Ovis aries: one gene and its partners. The protein of the gene in region 5 interacts with the protein of the main gene of each other region in a pairwise test. Links are inferred from orthologs where the notes say so. Each region holds a gene or a part of one and is shown on either strand. Other genes may lie near its edges. The genes, in order: SEC23IP, EXOC7, NUP62, NECAB2 and SSC5D.

The links.
Region 1: the proteins of SSC5D (region 5) and SEC23IP interact in binary tests that used the Homo sapiens proteins (3 or more experiments, as listed by UniProt). The two-hybrid records come from large-scale screens. The link is inferred for Ovis aries from reciprocal best matches to the Homo sapiens genes SSC5D and SEC23IP.
Region 2: the proteins of SSC5D (region 5) and EXOC7 interact in binary tests that used the Homo sapiens proteins (3 or more experiments, as listed by UniProt). The two-hybrid records come from large-scale screens. The link is inferred for Ovis aries from reciprocal best matches to the Homo sapiens genes SSC5D and EXOC7.
Region 3: the proteins of SSC5D (region 5) and NUP62 interact in binary tests that used the Homo sapiens proteins (3 or more experiments, as listed by UniProt). The two-hybrid records come from large-scale screens. The link is inferred for Ovis aries from reciprocal best matches to the Homo sapiens genes SSC5D and NUP62.
Region 4: the proteins of SSC5D (region 5) and NECAB2 interact in binary tests that used the Homo sapiens proteins (3 or more experiments, as listed by UniProt). The two-hybrid records come from large-scale screens. The link is inferred for Ovis aries from reciprocal best matches to the Homo sapiens genes SSC5D and NECAB2.

Annotation. Positions count from the first base shown.
Region 1 is NC_056075.1:39,501,366-39,505,469, reverse strand, and holds the start of SEC23IP (SEC23-interacting protein), read right to left. Parts: upstream 2,808-4,104; 5' UTR 2,652-2,807; coding exon 2,468-2,651; intron 1-2,467. Other genes in the region: MCMBP (mini-chromosome maintenance complex-binding protein), read left to right, coding at 3,104-3,161. UniProt on the Homo sapiens protein: Plays a role in the organization of endoplasmic reticulum exit sites. Specifically binds to phosphatidylinositol 3-phosphate (PI(3)P), phosphatidylinositol 4-phosphate (PI(4)P) and phosphatidylinositol 5-phosphate (PI(5)P).
Region 2 is NC_056064.1:54,912,909-54,916,421, reverse strand, and holds part of EXOC7 (exocyst complex component 7), read right to left. Parts: coding exon 3,394-3,513; intron 572-3,393; coding exon 479-571; intron 1-478. UniProt on the Homo sapiens protein: Component of the exocyst complex involved in the docking of exocytic vesicles with fusion sites on the plasma membrane.
Region 3 is NC_056067.1:55,979,954-55,982,649, forward strand, and holds the end of NUP62 (nuclear pore glycoprotein p62), read right to left. Parts: coding exon 1,460-2,696; 3' UTR 513-1,459; downstream 1-512. UniProt on the Homo sapiens protein: Essential component of the nuclear pore complex. The N-terminal is probably involved in nucleocytoplasmic transport.
Region 4 is NC_056067.1:9,830,570-9,834,600, reverse strand, and holds the start of NECAB2 (N-terminal EF-hand calcium-binding protein 2), read right to left. Parts: upstream 2,804-4,031; 5' UTR 1,859-2,803; coding exon 1,566-1,858; intron 1,486-1,565; exon of another isoform or gene 1,480-1,485; coding exon 1,368-1,479; exon of another isoform or gene 583-1,367; coding exon of another isoform or gene 509-582; intron 200-508; coding exon 175-199; intron 1-174. UniProt on the Homo sapiens protein: May act as a signaling scaffold protein that senses intracellular calcium.
Region 5 is NC_056067.1:62,800,934-62,805,200, forward strand, and holds the start of SSC5D (soluble scavenger receptor cysteine-rich domain-containing protein SSC5D), read right to left. Parts: upstream 2,806-4,267; 5' UTR 2,714-2,805; coding exon 2,689-2,713; intron 2,221-2,688; coding exon 2,194-2,220; intron 1,928-2,193; coding exon 1,619-1,927; exon of another isoform or gene 1,363-1,618; coding exon of another isoform or gene 1,347-1,362; intron 1,007-1,346; coding exon 887-1,006; intron 701-886; coding exon 587-700; intron 248-586; coding exon 1-247. Other genes in the region: NAT14 (probable N-acetyltransferase 14), read right to left, coding at 4,267-4,267.

The DNA of each region.
Region 1 (4,104 bases), on a different chromosome or scaffold from region 5:
GGACAAAGGACTTTGGGAAAATAATGTATGAAAAATATCTGATGTGACTTCCCTGGGGAAGTGGTGAAGAATTCGCTTGCCAATGCAGGGGACATAGGTTTGATACCTGTTCCAGGAAGATTCCATATGCCACGGGGCAGCTAAGCCCACAATCACTGACCCTGCACACACTAGAGCCTGCGCTCTACCACAAGAGAAGCCACCACAATAAGCCCACCCACCTCAACGAGAGAGGAGCCCCCGCTTGCCACAATGAAGACCCAGAGCAGCCAAAATTATAATTAATTAATTAAAACATACTCAATGTGCCTATTTAGAAAGGAGATTTAGGCACTTAATGGAAAGTATGCATTATCCATTCAGCAACTATTTATTGCACATCTATGACGTCAGACACTGTTCTAGGTACTTGGGAACAATACAGCATAAAAATACCAAAATCACTGCTTCAAAGTTCTCATAATCTAGTGGAAATTTCAGTGCAGCTGAGGTTGAATTCATGCTAAGTATACAGAAAATAAGCAAATGTTTACAAGAAACTTTTACCCCATCCTGGAGGCAACGACATTCAATTCTTTCCGCTGATTGTTTCAGTATCTCTGTATTTTAAAATTAATATTATATTGTCACTTCTGAGTTTTCCTTTTTTTCTCCTTTGAATTGTGTGTTGACTTCCCAGGTTTAAGATGAGGTTTAAATCTTCTTTATCCTATCACATATATGAATCCTATACATCCTCATACCCTTAGCTTCCTAAAGTTAAATTATAATGTTGCTTAGATAAATATTCTAATTTAACATTATTATGCTGTTAAATACTCTTGAGAGCTTTGTCCTGACATAAATTGTGACTCTTAATTTTCTATTCAAGTTTTTGTTTTCCTTGCCTTAAGACTTGGAATAACTTTCCCTCACGCTTTTCACCTAGCTAACTCTTACTTATCTTTCAAGTCCCAGTGAAAAATGTCACATTTTCAGGAAACCCCTGAAGGATCCTTTCCCCAAAACCCTCCCTCACTAGACTAGATGGTGCTATTCAATCCTTTTATAGAACTTCACTTTTTCTTTCCTGGTACCTATCATGGTTGTAAATGGATAATTATTCAGTAATAAGTCTCTCACTGAACTGGACATAACATGAAGGCAGTGGGTCTTTGTTGCAGTCCAGGGGGGCTTCTCTTGTGGAACACAGGCTCTAGGGTGCGTGGGCTCAGTAGTTGTAGCCCACCAGCTTAGTTGCCCCTCAGCATGTGGAATTTTAGTTTCCCACGAAGGATCAACTTGGGTCCCCTGCATTGGAAAACAAATTCTTAACCATTGGACCATCACAGAAGTCCTTAATGCCTTTCTTAAAAATACAGACTTGAGAGTGGGGGAAGTGTGATTGCCAGCAGTGGGAAAAAAAATCTTGCCATAGAGAAATACTCTTATGGACCTTCCCTTGGCCTTTTAAGTTTTCATAACCACTCATTAGTAGTGTCAAAACATCTTGGGTGAAATTATTCACATTATTTCAGTAGGATCACAGTGTCTCTTAAAGTTAAATCTGAACAATTGTCTACAAATCACTGACTACAGAGGGAGAAACCAAAAGCTGAAGTGTTCTTAGCCACTGCTGAATTGGTGTCCAGCTGCAATTTCATATACAGCAAATTGAAATTATTATAATTTAAAAGATTGTATGTCACAAAGCTAAATAGGAGATTTCTCTATTCAATACCAGGAATCTCGAGCCCTTCTAAGCTAAATGAATGAATGAAAGTAGTAATGCCAACGATTTGAAACCGTTTTCTCAGCTCACCCAAACTCACAAGAGCCAGATGTATAGTATAATATGCCAATCACAGTCATCCCTTGGTATCAATTGCAGGGAATTGGTTCCAGGAACAGATATCTGAATGCCAGAGTTTCTTATGTAAAATGGTACGAAATAGTACAGACGACTCTGCGTGATCAGGTCTCCATAGCTTCAGTTTCCACATCCGGGTATTCAACCAGCCTTGCCCACCAGATTCAGAGGAATGTAATTAGTTCACAGTGACAGATACAAAATAAACCCTTTTGCCCTAAGGAGGGCTTGAGATCCGAGTTCAGTTCTCCAGCTCCTCACTTTTTAGGGAGTGGAGATGATCGCATTCGGATCATCCTTCTGTTAATACGCTGTACTTCAGGTTATGAGAGGGAGGGTTTTTTCCGATATATTTCAGATCTAGGGGCTGTTTCATTATAGAACTTGGATATTTTCCAAATTTCCTCATTCAAAGGTTACTATTAACCAGATCTTTTCTGTGTACAGATACCACTGTCTTGATCCAGTCGAGGGAAGACTTGATCCAGTGGAGGAAAGTCATTACAGGGGGTTTCTAGCACGGAACCAAACAAAAGAGTTGCCATTGGCCAAAAAAAAAAAAAAAAAAAAACCACTAAGAGGCGGGACGAGGTGGGCAGACACCAGAGGCAACGTTACCTTCTAATTTTGCCCAGAGATAACTTTGAGGTCTCTTTGCGCTTGTGCTCTTGGACTGTTGCGGTCTCCGACCTGCGCAAGGCCTCGCCACTATAAACAGATAAACCAGACATCGGGAGTTTCTCCTTTGGAGTCTGCAGAGGGACACCGAGCAATATGCAGCCCTCAAGTAACCACGCGGCATGCTCGCGAGGCCACCCCTGCCCTTCCCCTCGCCCGTCTCCAAGATGGCGACCGCCCTGCCGCCGCGGCCCCGCCCCGCCGAGCCCCACCCCCTCTCCCCGGAGCAAGGCCGCCCCGCCTCCCCGCCGCGGGGCCGCGCTGCGCGCTCCCGCCGCCCCTCCCCGCACGAGCTCCACCCAGGTCGCCGGCAGCGCGGTCGGCGGCGGCGGCGCCTATTTCCCGCCATTGTGCGAAGTGGAGGCTGGGGGCCCGCACGCGCCGCCTGCCCGTGGCCGGCAGCGCCTCACAGCCGCCGCCTCCGCCGCCGTTCCCTGAGGCGCGGGGAGGCCAGGCGGCCCGCGCCGCGAGGCTTTCCCTGCGTGGGAGGGCGCGGGCGAGGAGCGGCCGAGCCCCCGACGAGGAGCAGAGGCGCGCGGGACGCCCGGGCCGCGCCGGCTCCGGCCAGTCGGCGAGATGCCCTGTGGGGAGGATTGGCTCAGCCACCCGCTGGGCATCGTGCAGGGCTTCTTCGGTGAGTGGCGGCGCCCGGGGGGCGGGCGGGGTCCGGGCGGGCCGCCGAGTTCACCGAGCCCCCGGGGCCCGGACCCTGCCGCGCGGCGCCCAGGCGGGGCCGCCTCGAGGGCTCGAGCGGCCGAGACGGTCAGCCGGGCCTGCGCCGCCGGCGCTCGGCAACCCCCTCCCGCCCGGAGAGTCCGGGCCGCGGCTGCCCGGGCCCGGGCCGCAGGTGCCTCCCACCTGCCCGATTCGCGACTCCCGAGCCACCAAGGTTACGGCGCCAGGAGCCGGCTGCCGGCCGTGATTGACGGCCTCGCTTCCCCCTTCGTGGCCCCGCGGGCGGACCCTGAGCCCCGCGTGCGGCCGGACTCTGGGGTTGGGGGGTCCTCGAACCTTTCGGGAGGACCCGCAGAGATGTGCTGAAGGGAAAAGCACTTTGCCTATGGGAAGCCCGCAGGACATTTCAAAACTTCCGGTGTGTGGGGGGAGTGCTCGCGTGCTTGCTCGCTCGCTGCAGAAGTTGGCTGTAACTCCTGGGTTACACACATCCTCCTTTTTCGAGATAAGATTTCGTGTGATAACTTAGATTTTTTTCCGTTAGGACACCTTTAAAACATGTCTCGTCTCCCCATCTCCTCTTGGGCCAGAGCTAGCAAGAAATGGTGAACGAACTCAGATGCGTTCCTGCATAGAAAGAGCTTAGCATGTGGCAGGCAAGCTCAGGAAATTTCACTTGCAGTCATGGTTAATGACACTTTTCGGGTAGGGTACACAAAGAAAAATTTAGGTCTGGTTGCCGTTCACTAGGCATTTTGGCCCCACCCCGCATGTCTTTTGCACTCAGGAGTGGTGGAGGCAAACCCAACCGGGAATCAGTGTGTAAGATCAGAACACCTGACTTGTCAGGAGGTAACTTGAACTTGGAAAGTGGCCTTCCTCACTTAAGACCTTGTGGAATA
Region 2 (3,513 bases), on a different chromosome or scaffold from region 5:
GATCTGGTCCACTGGGGCAGGGCTGTCCCTCCTCTGATGGGAGACAGGGGGGACATAGGCTGCCCGTCTCCCACGGCACACGCTCCCCTTTCTGAAGGTGGGGGGTGGCGGGGGGCAGCCAGCTTGGTCCTGCCACTGCTGGTCTGAGCGTGAAAGGGCTACCCGTGACAGAGAACTTTCTCCGAGTTCAAACGGGAGACAAGAAGGACAGAGACAGGATGGGGAGGGGGCAGGAAGCCTCCCGGGGGGCAGAGCCGCCGTCAGTCAGACAGGACTAGGCCAAGACCACAAAGGCTGCCCCTGAGCCAGCCAGCGGGGCTCAGTGACCCCAGGGACCTCAGTTCCCACCCCACCCCCCGCCCCCTGCCCCTCTCAGGCTTATGCCAGAGGCCGTCTGGGAGGTGGAGGCTCTGCCCTGCCATGGGAGTGGACACACAGTGGAGGAGGAGGGAACTGGAGAGGAACACGGGGTGATTACCTTCCAGAGGAATGAGGTTAGAGCCCCCCTTTTTCCCATCTAGACCATGCTGGGAATATTGTTTCAGAAGGTTCTGAGCCTTACGGATCGTCCCTGTCACCAGAGCCACACAGAGAGGAGACAAGAAGACCTAGGAAATGAGTGAGAAAACAGCAGCAGCCCTCCACCGGCCCCTCTCCCCCAGGCCCGCGCCCACCCCCAGCAGTGAGCACGCCCGGACAGAGGAATGGAGCCATTTTATTCTTTCAGGAGACTCCTGGTTCTGCCAGTGACCCTCATGTTCTGGGTCTGAGTTCATTTGAGGAAGTGCAGTGGGTGAAGGAGATGAGATGGGCAAAGATCCACCAGGAGAACCAAAAATTAACAAAGAAAACAACAGTACTGAGTGGCACTTAGATCATAGGCCCTGGGACAGAGGAGCAAGTCATGGAGCTCTAGAGCCCAGAAAGGGTGATCCAGGGGACACCTCGAGGCCCTCAGGTCCTCTCCCAAGGGCAGGCCGAGCTCTCTGGGAAGCTCTCCGGGCACGCTCAGTGCCAGAAGCGGCCAAGCAGCAGCCCACCAAAAGCAGGAGACCCAGGAGGTGGCGAAATGGGCCTGGGCTTCCAGGGACAGCAGTGGGAGGCTTGGAGATCCAGAGGCAGAGTGGCCCACACACCAGGGCAGGGACCCGAACCATCAGAGCTCTTGGGAATGACTCAAAAGCCGAGGAGAAGTTAACAGAGGCCACCACACAGAGAGCTGGAGCGGGAGGGCCACAGGAAAGGGGGCATGCTCTTGGCATGGGGGGAAAAAACCAACAGTTAGTATCACACGTGAGAACAATGACAACGCCGCAGTGCCCACAGCCTCTCAAGTCAGCTACCTCTACGGGAGCGAGAGAGCTCAGGGCAGAACACGTGGGGGAAATAAAACAGCACTCAAAACAGACGTGTGCAGCTGCCTCGTTAACAAAGCAGGGGGCAGGGCAGGCACCGTGAGGGTAACTCGGGTCCCTCTCCCCTGGGGACTCCTGGGTGCCCTCCCCAGCATCTCTGAACACAGGGAGGCTGCTTTGGGTCCTGGCAGCTCCCCAAAAGGCTGGGGGAGGCAGGACATTTCTCTCTGTGCGCACCAACCACAATTAGCTACTAACAGCCGAATTCAGGGCTCCGGTTCAGCATCTGTCTCGCCATGTTCTTCAGCGAGCGGCCCCACTAATGAGTGAATCGGTTTCCTGCCGCACGGACAAGCGGGAGCAGATGGGCCCACGCAGCCTTCAGGAGCCTCACCAGCACGTCCACGTGGATGTGGGCTGGGGACATTGATCTGGCAGCCACCAAGCCCATCAAGTGCCCAACTACCTCGGATGATGCCAGGGTCAGTGTTTCATTACCCACCGCACCGCCCAGCTTCGCTCAAGAGCTGGGAATCACATCCTGGGGTCCTGTCTCCCTAGTTTCTGACATCAGTTCTGAGCCCCTCCCAACCCAAGCTTCTGACAACTCTTGAAACCCCACAGAAACCAAAGGGACCCTCACAGTTACAGCCGTCCTTTTGGCAGGCTCGAAGTCAAGGCTGCTTTAGGTCCAGCAGGAGCACCGAGGTCAGACCCCGGCTCCCCTGCAGGGCCAGCAGTGCTCCTGGATGCAGTCTGGGTCCTGGGGTGCCCGTCGGAGAAGAGACAGAGGGGAGGAGAGCGCAGGCCTGCCGAGGCCCAAGAAGCCCCACAGCCTCACTGAGCTAAGGCGCAGAGACGGAAAGGCCCGTGTGGCAGGCGGCTGTGGCCATGCAGGCAGCCTTACTAGAGTCCCTGTTTGCGGCCAGTTCTCCCGGGGGGGTGGCCAGGACATCCACACTGGTGGGGGGAAGGGCCCCTGGCTTCCCTCCCGCCCTGCCCACTGGTGCCCTGCCTGCGGGCAGCCTCTGCTCTGCCGTGTCTCCAAATCCTGAACCAAGGCCTGAGGAGCAGCGGGTTTTCAGGGCAACTGTGAACAGGCAACCCTGCTCCCTGAGGGGCAGGGAAGGAAAGCGCTGTCACGAAGGACGGTCCCACCGGTGCCTCTGGGCACATGAGGCAACAGCAGCTGGACCAGGTGGGCTGAGGCGGGAACAGCCCCTGGCCTCACGTGCTCTCTCTCTCTCCCTGGGGTCTGCAGTGGTCCCTCACCCCGGAAGACCCCAGCCTCTCAAGGGCAACACCTCTCAGTGGCTAGACACAGCTAGGCTTGCCAAGCGGAAGATGGCACGCGGGAACACTGTTTATCCGGAGCACAGACCACGGGGCACACGATGACGGGAAGAAGGCCAGACAGTGAGCTGTTCGCCCAGGACACCTGCAGCCCAGGCCTCTCCCCCCTCAACAACCCTCCCCCGAGTCCCCATGGCCAGACACAAGCTTCGAGTGGAACCCAAAAGCCCGACTGTGTCCTTCGGCGAGGATGGCCTGAGATTTTTTTTTTCTTTCTGGATGGATGGACTGTGAAAGAGCACTCTCCCCTCTCTACTTCTTAACTATGCATCAGGTCAAGCAGCCTGGGCTTCCTGGAAGGTGAAGGCCACCGCGCCTGCCCCTGTCCCATTCCACAGTTTTGGTGGCGGCAGCAGGCCTGGCCTTTACACAAGACGACGGAGACAGGCCAAGGGCGCCCAGCGAGTGGCTGCCCCTGCACCCGTCACCTCACCTCTCCAGGCCTGTGACCCACTGCTCCAAGGATCCTTATACAGCCCCCAGACTCGCGAGAAAGGAGCTCACTGGACCAGGCCTTGCTGGGTGGGCAGACACCTGCTTTCTGTCCCGTGTACCTTGGTCAGGGGTACTGTGAGGACAAGCTCTAAAGGGGCTGACGCTGCTCACCCCAGGGTGGGCCTGGGCAACCCAGGTCCCAGGTGGCCCTCGGGATGGTTCCGAGGTGGGCCGGTGGGGGGGTGCTCACCTGGCCGCTTGACCGGCTTCTTGGTGGGTGTGTCTTTCCTCTTGTTGGGGATGGCAGGGGAGTAGGGGACCCCAGAGGAAGAGCTGCTCTTCCGGAAATGCTCCTTCAGGCCTTTGATGG
Region 3 (2,696 bases), about 6.8 Mb from region 5:
GGATCTGGTGTGTAGCGAGTGCTCCAAAGATGGATGCTGAGTGAATACATGTAGGTAAAATACTACTTCCTACTTCCTAAGGGGACTCAAGGGGGTGGGATACGGGTACCGGATGGGGTCACGGCTCCCAGACTACAGAGGGCCACTGTCGCAGGGGGTAGAGCCTTTGGAGAAGCAACTGGGGTTGCTGGGGTCTCCCGCCTCTGGTTTGTTCCCCCCTCTCTTCCGCGGCTTCCGCTTGGATGAGACAGTGGTCTCTAGAAGTCCAAGATGACCTGAGGAAATGACTCATGGTCATGACTTTGGCAAAGTGGACCATGTATGTGCAGGAATAAGCCCTGGGCACTCCAGAGCCAAAACACAGCTCAGTGTGCGCGAGCCAAGGGAGGCCAGAGGGCAGACTTCCTGCCCTGTGCCACGAGCAAGAGCTGAGCGCCTTCCCCCACAAGCATGACCTGGAACCTACTCTTTTCCCAACCTTCTCCTTCTAAGTTATCCACAGAAACAGCAGCTTTTAAATTCCACAATACATTTTATTTAGGGAAGCAACATACAGCTATAGGTATTTCAGAGTACAGCAGAGTGTAAAGACAAACACAGAAGACCCCTGGGACACGGCTGGCCCTGGACACTGGATCTCATTGGAACCAGCCAGGTTTGTCTCGACTCCGGGAGGTGCAGAATCAAGTCTGTGGCTGCCCCTGGCACCCTGGCCACCTCCACAGGCATTCATTCGGCGGGCGAGCGTTTTATGCCGGTCTCATCTCTACTCTTCATCTGTTTGATGCTGTGACAGGGACTGCTGTGCTGAGCACACAAGGGGGACAGGAAACAAGCCCTGCCCACAGGGTGCACAACCTTTCGGTGAGGCTGAGAAGCGAGGAGTCTGCAGTCTTGTGTGGCCAGTGTTACCAAAGGCGCGCTCGCAAGCTCAGCGTGGAGTGGGCCCACGGGACAGCACCGACCTGGCTTTAGGGTGGCCGACGCGGTGTGTCAGCCAGGCGAGGGGAGACTGCTCTTCTCTTCTGACCTGTCTCTCCTCCTCTGAGAACGTCCCACTGTCCGCTCCACCCACAAGCCACTTCTCTGCACTGCTCACTCACTCCAGGCGGCTGGCTCAGTGAGGCTGGAGCTCTCCTCCCCGCATCTCTGACTCTGCCGGGCAGAGTGGCGGCCTAGCGTCTCGGCTGGGAGACAGGCGGCTCTCTGGTGGCTCAGCCCTCCTCCAGCACAACTGGAGGCGGGTGGTTGTAGCAGGTGGAAAGGGTCTAGGACATGGAGAAAGCATACCCACGAGGCTGCAGCCTGGCCCAGAGCACTGAGAATACTTTCTATTCACTAAGACAAAAAGTCAAACCAGAGAACAGTTCTATTAACAGCACAACTGTTTGAAAGCCAGAAACACACAAACACGTATTTCCCCGCACTCCAACCACGAGGCAGTAAGCCCCGCCCGGGCTCAGTCGAAGGCGATGCGGCAGCTGCGCTCCTGCTCCTTGCGCCGGCCCTCGCACACCTTGGTCACCTCCTCCACCTTCCTCTGCAGCAGCGCCGAGCTCTGGTCGATCCACTGCAGCGAGTCCATGTGCGCGTTGAGGATCTTGCAGATCTGCTGCAGCGGGTCGCTGGTGTCGGCCGGGCCCCCCGATGTGTTCAAGTGCTCGATGATGTCCTTGAGGTCCTGGGCCATGCGCTTGAGCTGCGCGTCGATGTTCTCGGCCAGCTTGTAGGTCTTCTCGCGCTCCTCGTCTGCGTGCTGCAGGTGCACCGTGCCGCTCTGCTCCTTGACCGACTCCTCCAGCGGGCTCAGCAGGTCCTCCAGCTCCTTCTGCTGCGACAGGATGAAGTCGAGCTCCTGGTCCAGCCGCTTCTGGTCCAGCTTCACCTTCTCCACCTCGCGGTGGAGGCTGGTGATCCTCTCGCCGTTCTCGATCAGCGTGCGGTCCCAGGCGTTGACCTGCGTGGCCTGCTGCAGGAAGTGCCGTTCCTGGTCTTCCAGCTCCAGGCTCCACTTGTTGATGAGACTCTCCAGCTGGGCGTAGGTCAGCGCAGCGCTGCCGGATCCCCCGGCAGCCACGCTGGGACCGCTGGGCGCACTCCCGGAGGCCGCTGTGTTGCTGGGGATCCCGGCCGGAGTCAGGGGCTTTATGTTCAGGGAGAAGCCAGTGGTGCTGGTGCTGGTGGTGGTGGTGGTGGTGGTGGTGGTGGTGGTGGTTGTCGCCGTGGAGGTGGTGGAAGCTGCTCCAGGGGCCTTCAGGCTGAAGCCCAGTGTCCCCGCTCCTGCTGTCCCCGTGGTGGTCGCTGGGGTGCCAAGGGAGAGCCCGGTGGCGGCGGACGACGTGGGAGCAGTAGCCAGCGAGGTGAAGAGCGAGGGCCCGGCGCTGGCGGTGGTGGTGGTGGCGGCGGGAGTGGGCGCGGCTGGCTGTGCGGCTCCTGCTCCAGTGGCCGCTGGAGCGGCCGCAGTGAAGGGCAGCCCGCTGAGGGCTGGGGACTGGGCCGGGCCCCCCATGGAGCCTATGTTGAAGCCAGAGGTCCCAGTCTGGGATGCGCTCCCAGCCGTGAACGAGAAGCCCCCGGAAGTCGATGTGGTGGGCGGGGCGGCAGATGCTGCGGTGGAGCCAAACACAAAGCCGCCGGGTGCCGCGCCCTGGGCGGAGGTGCTGGTGCTGGCGCTGGAGACGGCACTGCTGAGCGTG
Region 4 (4,031 bases), about 53 Mb from region 5:
TCACCGCACTGCCCACACCTGCCCGCTGAAGCCGCATGGCTCCCCTGCTCAGTAGGAACCACAGGGGTCCCTCGTAGGATGGAGAAACAGGCGCAGGGCAGCGTCCTGCACCCCCAACCAGAAAGAGCCAGGTCCTCACACGGGGACAGCCTCGCGGGGTGTGGGAAGACTCACCGTTTTTGTCCGCACGGCGGAAAATCTGCAGAGAAGAGAGGTCGAGTCAGTGTCGGCTGGGAGGGGCAGGCTTCCAACACCCCCAGCCCAGTGGACCTGCGGAAGCCGGGCCCCTTTTCCCTCCTGAGGGAGGAGACCCGGGGGTGGAAGGGTGTTTCAGGCAGTGGCCCTCCAGCTCCCCTCGAGGAGACAGCCTCCCCTCTTCCTCAGGCGCTGCTGGCCATGCGGTCGAGAGCACGCCGCACGGGTGTGTGTCCAGAACCTTTGGCCCACGTGCAGCACCCACAGGCGGCTGCGTGCTCCCCACTCCCGTCCGTGGGAGGCAGCCACTCACCTTACACCCCCACTAGGACCTCTCGAGGGCCTGGTGTTCTCCAGGGAGGGTGGGTTAAATCTGAACAGAGGCATCTGCCAAGCAAACCTCGAGGCCTGACGACAGGATCAGCCAGTGCACGGCGGGATTAGTTTTTTGGGGGTGGTCAGTGGGTAGGAGCAGCCCGCAAGCAGCTCAGAAAGAGAGGCGGGGAGGGAAGGGGCAGCCTGGTCCCCTCCAGCTGCAGCTGAAACCAGATAGCTCCTCCTGGTGTTTTTAGTCCTAGTAAGCCTTGCTGGGGGCTGCCCTGGTGGCTCAGATGGTAAAGAATCCACCTGCAATGTGCGAGACCTGGGTTCGATCCTTGGGTCAGGAAGATCCCCTGGAGAAGGGAAAGGCTACCCACTCCAGTATCTGGCCTGGAGAATTCCATGGACAAAGGAGTCTGGCAGGCTACAGTCCATGGGGTCGCAGAGTCGGACCCTTCTGAGTGACTTAGCACGCGTGCACGCAAGCCTTGCTGAAGGTAGGAAGAGGGGGAGACGCCGCCCCCAGCGTGTGACCCTCACACCTTGGAGAGCGGGAGCTGGGCCCCTCCCTCCAAGCAGTAGGGCAGGCATCCATTGTCAGGCACCCGGGCTGTGACAAACTGAAGCAGCAGCTCAGGAAAGATATTCTCAAACATTCCCCCTTTCTTGAGCTGAACCCCAAGTTGGGGCAGGGGACACAGGTCTGGAGCAGCTGGGGCAGAAAAGGGGGCAGCTGCCAGCACCCCAGCTTGTGCACCGCACACTGCCTGCTCCTGACTGCAAGGTTCCCGAGGAGGCTGGAGTCCCACCTTCAGGTGCCGGGGCCGGGGGTGAGCGTTAAAGTGACTGACCTGACAGGAGATGTGGCCCTGGCACTCGCTCATCACCCCCATTTCACAGATGAGGAGACTGGGGCTCAGAGCCAGCAGCGTGGCGTGAGGACTCCAGAGTCCACGTCCTGTCCTGTGCAAAAGGGGGGGGGCCTGGACAGAGCTGTCCGCTGCAAGGGCTTTCAGCTGCGAACTCACTGGGGCTTTGAGAGGGCTCACCTGTGCAGGTGCGAGTGGGCTGTGTGTGAGCACGTTCTGGGAAGCCTGGGAGCCATGGCCACGTGCGGCAGATCACCCCCTGCCCTGTCGGCTGAGAGCCAGCGATGGAGGCTCCAACAGGAACGTGGTGGGGGTGGAGGGGCGAGAGGAAACCCACACTGTCCCCCTCTCACCAGGATGTGATACACACACCTCTCCCTGAAACCCACCCACCATACATAAACATGGCACCCCCAGCCCCGTGTCACCCACCTCGGAGGACCCTCCCTAGGACAGGCACACCCCACTGCCATGCTGCCCCTTGGGGTGGGCAGAGCACCCCACGGGGGACGCCCCCCCACCCTGCAGAAGGCTCCCTCCTACAGAGGAGAGTGGGTGGGAGGGTGAGGTGGGGCGGTTTGGGCTCCAGAGGACGTGGGGGAGGGGTGCGGAGTGGGGGTGAGGAGGAGAGAGGGTGAAAAGGGGAGGGGGTGAGCAGGGGGAGGGGTGAGGAAAGGGAGAGGGAGGGGTGAGGAGAGGGAGAGGGAGGGGGGAGCGGGGGAAGGGGATCAAGGACTGGCTCAGAATGGAGTGGTGGTCCTCAGAGAGGATGGGGGATGGCTCCAGTCCTACTGAAAGGAGAGAGGAAGGCAGGTGGGGAGGGGGCTTTGCTTTTAAAAAGGTGGTGCCTGAGGCAAAAGGGTTGAGGATACAAGGGCTTAAGGTCCAAAGCTCGGACAAGAAAAATGGCCCTGGACCCAGGGATTGTGTGTGTGATGGGGTGGGTTGGGGGGAGAGTCTTAGAAAAGTAAGGACGGGGGGCAGGGGTCGGTGGGGCGGGCAGGAGCAGGGGCCGACGGCGGTCTGGGACTCGCGTCCCGGGAAGGAGCTGGGTGAAGGATGAAGCGCGGGCTGGAGAAAGATGAGGGTTTGGCCAGGACAGAAGTAGGGGGCGGTGGCCGGGTCGAGGGGCTCCAGGGTCCCGGCTCCGAGAATGTGGAGATCCCGAGAAGGGGAGGGAGGTAAAGGGGTCGTCCCGGTCCGGGGACGAGACGGGACCCGCACGGAGACCGGCCCGGGGGCCGAAGAGCTGGGGGCCGCGCTCTGCACAAGGAGGAGCCGGTGGATCCCGCTCTGGACCCCCGGGGTGCGGGCCAGCGTCCCTGCCCGGGGACCCCTGCCCCTCAAGCAGAAGGGGGTCTTGCAGGTCCCAGCGGGGTCCCGGGAGCGTGGCGTCCGCGTCGCCCGGTGGGGAGAACGGGTCCCGGCCCGCGCGTACTCACGTCCAGGATGACGGCGGTGCCCCCGCGCGGCGAGGCGGGGCCCGGGTAGGGGCCGGGGTCCGCGACGGGGGTGTTGGGGGCGTCGGGGGCCAGCGGCGCCCGGGGCTCGCCCATCCTGGCGCCCACCCAGCGCAGCAGCCCGCCCAGCGCCCGGCCCTGCGGCGGCGGCTCCCGGAGCAGCCTGTGCGCGCCGGCCCTGCACAGGCGCGCCGCCCGCTCGCACATCGCGCCGCGCCCGCCGCCGCCGCCGCCCGGAAGCCCGCCGACCCCCGCCCGGCCCGCGGCCCGCCCCCGCGCGACCCCCTCCCCGGCGCCGCCCGCCGCCGCCGCCCGCGCCCCGCCCTCCCTCCCTCTGCCCCCGCGGCCGCGGCCACGCGGGGACGGGCCGGCGCTGGGGGACGGGAGGGGGTGGGCGCCGCCCCGCCCGGACCCGGAGCCACGTGCCCCGTGGGCCACCGCCCCCGCCCCCGGCGGCCGGGCGCGGCGGCAGGGGGCTGCCGGCAGTGGGCCGCGGGGCTGGGGAGCTAGACCCCGGCCCGGCCACGGAGGGGGCTGCCTGGCAGGCGCGGGGTTTTGGGGGTCTGGCTTCGGGGGTGCATCCCTGGGGGCTGCCCCCATTCCGAAAGTCTCCCCCTGCCCGCCCTCCAGAAGAATCCCCCCTCCTCCACTCCGTGGCGCCGCCGCCGGGGCCGGAGCGCTGTGTCCGGCGAGCCGGTAGCGCCCTCTGCCGGCTGCAGCCCAAGGAACGCGCGCCCACGCACTGGGGCCTTCTCCACTCCGCAAGTACCCACTCGTCCCTTCCACCGGGTGCACGCCCCTCAGACCTCCCCCGCGAGTTAAACAACGCCCAGAACTAGTGTTCCCCACCCCTGGAACACCCTCTTCCCCTTATACTCCCTGCGTCCATCCTTCCAGACTCCCACCCACCGAACCAGAGAATTAAAGGAGCCCCTGCTGGGTGCTAGGCCTGGTGGCCGCACTGGGTTCCAAGAACATCGGGAAAACAGGAGGGCTTGCCTTGGCCTCCTGGAGCTTACAGCCAAGTGGGTGGAGCCAGATACTGGAAGTGAAAGTGAAAGTGAAGTCTCTCAGTCGTGTCCGACTCTTTGCGACCCGTGGACTGTAGCCCACCAAGCTCCTCCGTTCATGGGATTCTCCAGGCAAGAATACTGGAGTGGGTTGCCATTTCCTTCTCCAAACACTG
Region 5 (4,267 bases):
GGACAGTCTCTCAGGGCCTGCTCTCCGCCTCCGCACCCCACATCGTCCATCCACACGGGGCCCGCGCCCGGGCCGAACCGAGCCCCCCCAGGGGCGGCCAGGGCGCCCCCGCAGCCCAGCTCCCGGCAGGCCACGGCAGCGTCCCGCAGGTCCCAGCCGTCGTCGCACACGGTGCCCCAGCGCCCACCATGCCACACCTCTAGGCGCCCGGCGCACCCGTGGGGGCCGGAGACCAGGCGCAGCCGTTCTGCGGAGCGGGCAGGAGGGGGAGCTGTGAGGGGCCTAGTGGAGGCGGCTGGTACACTCTCGTTTTCCGTCTGGGAAAACGGAGGCCCCGTGCGGTCAGGGGACTGAGATCAGCCTGCCAGCCGGCCAGTGGCAGAAAGTCAGGGTCTGGACAGGGCACGGGGCCTGGGGGCCTGCCACGAGTGGTCTACTGACCAGGCAGGGAGCCTGGACCTGGCTGAATCCCCGGGGACATGGTGCCCCCCTACCCTGCACCTGAGGGTCCCCAGTTTGGTCTGGGGGGCCTAGGGCCTGACCCCTTCTGGAGTTGCTGCAGATGGAAGGCCTGCCTCGGACTTACCCTGGCGGGGGGCTCCGGCAGTCAGCACTGGGGCCCTGGTGGATTTGGCCGGCTTGGGCAGCCGGGGGCTTTTCTTCCGGGAGCCACTCTGGGGGGTCCCGGCTGGGCGGGGGGCTAGGTGAGGAGGGGGACAGTAGGGAGGGCGGTTGGCAGCTGAACCTGGGGCTGTAGGTCAGTCCTGAGAGTCCCCAAGGGTCTGAAGGGGGCATCACCGGGGGCCCGGGGAGGGTGGAGGAGTCAGGCCTCTGTCCCTTCTCCCTCACGGCCAAAGCAGGAGCCAGAGCACAGGAAGGGGCTCACCAGGTGTCACTGGGGGCTCCTCAGAGCCGGCGCTCAGCTCCCCTGCCGGTCCCGGCCAGGGGTCCCCATCCAGGACTGAAGGTGGGTCGTCGTGGTCCCTGGAGTCTGTCCCACGCTGGCCTTGGGGACAGCAGCCTGTTGCTGGAGGCCACGCTCCCTCCTGTGGGCCCGTCTCAGGCCCGGGTCGCCCCCACCCCACCCTGCCTGGCATGGCTGAGTTTCACCCAAGCCAAGTAGGTTCCCTATCAGTTTTTACCCTTGCTTTCCTCTCTCTGAAGACAGATGCTTTTTGCTGACACAGTTGATAAGTGGCCCATGAGAAATAATAGTCATGAGACCCCCTGAGGGAAGGGACAATCCCCCGTTCCAGTCTGTGCAGACCTGCTCTGGCCCCTTTAAGTCTTCCTGCACCTCTTTAGGTGGGGGGAAGCACAGGTGCAAATAAATAACTCTGGCTCACCATCTGCAAGATCCATCCTGTCTGAGTTCCCCGTGTGAGTTCATGATAAACTTCATAGTTGTCCTTTACAGAGCTGCCAGCTTTATCAATCTCAAAGTTCCTTCCAAAGAGTTTGGAGGATGTTCTTCCAACACCCACCGTCTAACACCCCAGTGCTATGGAGAGGGCAGTCTCTCAGTGAGGCAGGGGTAGGGTGTCTGGACTTCTGGATGCTCAGAGTTAGTTACTGGGCTGAGGGTCCCTGGGCGTTGAGGAGGTTGAGGACCCCTTACCTGCACAGACGACCCCCGCATCCTCCTCGTGTGAGCAGATGTGGGCCTTCCAGCCCCGGTGGGAGCAGAGGCCCAGCTGCCGCTCCCCACCCCGGCAGGCCAGTTCACTCAGCCACACGGGCCCCGCACCCTCCCCGAAGAAGGCGCCCCCGGGGGCGGCCAGCGCACCCCCGCAGCCCAGCTCCCGGCAGGCCACAGCAGCGTCCCGCAGGTCCCAGCCGTCGTCGCACACGGTGCCCCAGCGCCCACCGTGCCACACCTCCAGGCGGCCCGCACACCCATGGGGCCCATCAGCCAGACGCAGCCGCTCTGCAGGGACGGAGGAGAGGCTGTGACATCCTGGAGACCCCGGGACTGGCGGGCAGGGCAGGGGCTGGGGGCTGTCCTGCAGGGGCATGACCGGGAGCCCCTTAGGAAGCAGGAAGCTGGGTGACCGTGTGGTCCTGCAGAAGTGGTGTGGGGGTCGTGGGCACACGAGGGTGGCCAGGGTCCAAGGGAGGGTGAGCCCAGGCCGGGCGTGGGGAAGGCTTGGAGCTGAGCGCACCCAGATGGGAGACGTGTTTGGGGCCACTTACCAACAGCCTGGGTCCCCATCAAAGCCACTGGAAGGGAGGTTGGAGGGGTGAGGCAGTGAGGTCCTCGCTCCTCTGAACCAGAAACCCCGCCGCCGGGAAGGAGGACTTGGGCCCAGCGCCTGGCCGAGGCCCAGGTCCTTGGGATGGGTGGAGCCCGGAGGCCTCAGGTCTGGGCAGGGGGCCAGGCCCTTGGCTCTCCCCACTGGGGGCCTGGCTAAAGGTGAATGATGGGTGAACCCCCTCTGCAGGGTCAGGGCTCATGGAGGGGAGAGGAAGTCCTGGGGTCTCCTGAGAAGGTGGGACTCAGGGTGCCTGAGGCCAGGTCCCTGGAGGATCAGTCAGAGGCAGCCAGATGTCCTGTGCTCCCCCACATCCCCCCCACCAAGCAACAGGGACGGGGCCCTGGAACTCAGAGGCTCTGCAGTGGGTCAGCTCAGGGGTCAGAGGGCCCGGCCCGGGGACCCTGAGTCCCGGAGGAGGGGAAGGGTCACTCACCGAGGAGGCAGGCCAGGACCCTCATGTTTGCAGAGTCAGGGTGGGGACAGGGTGGAAGTGGACGGGAGCAGGAGCTAGGAGGAGGGGACCGCCGACGCAGGAGGGAGGGGAGCGCCTGCCAGAGGAGCCCTGGACCCGGGGAGGAGCGGGCGGGGGCTGGACGCTCTGCAGGAGGAAGAGAGGCTGCCGAGGAGGCAGCAGGGGACAGGAGCGGGGCGGGGAGGGGGCTGGCCGGCGGCTGAGGCCTGTGGAGGAGGGCGGTGGAGGGCGGGAGGGAGGGTGTCCAACTGCAGACACCCACACAGGAGACAGCCGGCTGGCCAGAAGTGCCGCACTCAGGCTTGGGGGGCAGCAGGCTGCAGGGGAGGATCCTGACAGGGTGCGAGGGCGGGGCGCCCACCCATCTGCTGCTTCTCCTGTCCCGCCAGGGTGGTGTGCCGGAAGCAGAGGGCTTTGAGGGTGGGCTCACATCAGCTGCCGGGTTGGGGACCTGGTGCAGCAAGAGGGCTTGCAGGCAGACACCAGGAAGGACTTCCTGGACTGGGAAAGGAGACAGAGAGACTCCCTTCTCCATTCCCCCTGGTGGATTTGCAGGCAGAAGTCATCAGCCCTCTGTGTGTCTCCCAAGAAAACTGGGGTCAGGGGTCGAGAGGGCCAAGGGTCAAGACTTGGGTGGGGGAGGACGACTGCACACACACACACACACACACACAACACACACACACACGCACAGGAACGTACTCTTTCTCTCTCTCTCTCTGCACTAAGCAGCTGTGAGGCGGAAAAAATTCGGTAATGGGGAGCGTGAGTCAGAGGGCTGGCAGGGAGCTGGGCTGCCTGAGCTCATCGCCTCCCCTGCCCCCAGTCCAGCACACTCCCCCCTCCCGACAATTACTGTCAACCTCGGGAAGGAGGGGCCAGACAGAAATGGTGGGTGTGGAGGCAGACTGGAAAAGGCATCAGAGAGAGATGGCGAGCAGCGGTTACAGGCTTTATTAACAAACGGGTGTAAAAAACCAGATGGGTCTGGCCGCCCCTCTGGGCTCCCACCTTCCTGGGGAGGGGCTGGGCAGGCAGCCCTGTGCCCACCACCCCCTCCCCGGGGCTCTCTCCAGGCAGACAACACTCCCCTGCAGAAGCTTTGCTCAGCCCCTCTCTGCCTCTGCAGCCTCACCCCTTCCAAGCATGGGCATCGCCCCCCACCCTACCTCCCCGGGGCTGAGGGGGGCCCTCGTCCCTGTTTGGGGTACCCCTGCCAAGTCCTAACCCCAGTGGGGGGCGTACTTGCTCGGCCTCCTCTCCTGCCACATGTCATAGCACAAGCAACACAGGCTTGGCAGACAGACAGATAAGATTTCTCTGCGCAGACAGAATCTGAGGCAGGGGTTGGACGGGTTGAACTCTCTAAGAAGTTCAAACACTATGGATGGGCATCAGGCTGTGGCAGGGTCTCTTGCCCTCTGCGGGCCTCAGCTGCTGGGCCCTGGCGGGGGGGGGGGGGGGTAAGGATGGTGTGGAAGTGCCTGCACACAGCAGGTGCTCACTAAGTGCTGCTTTTCCTCCTGCTAGGGTCTGCAGT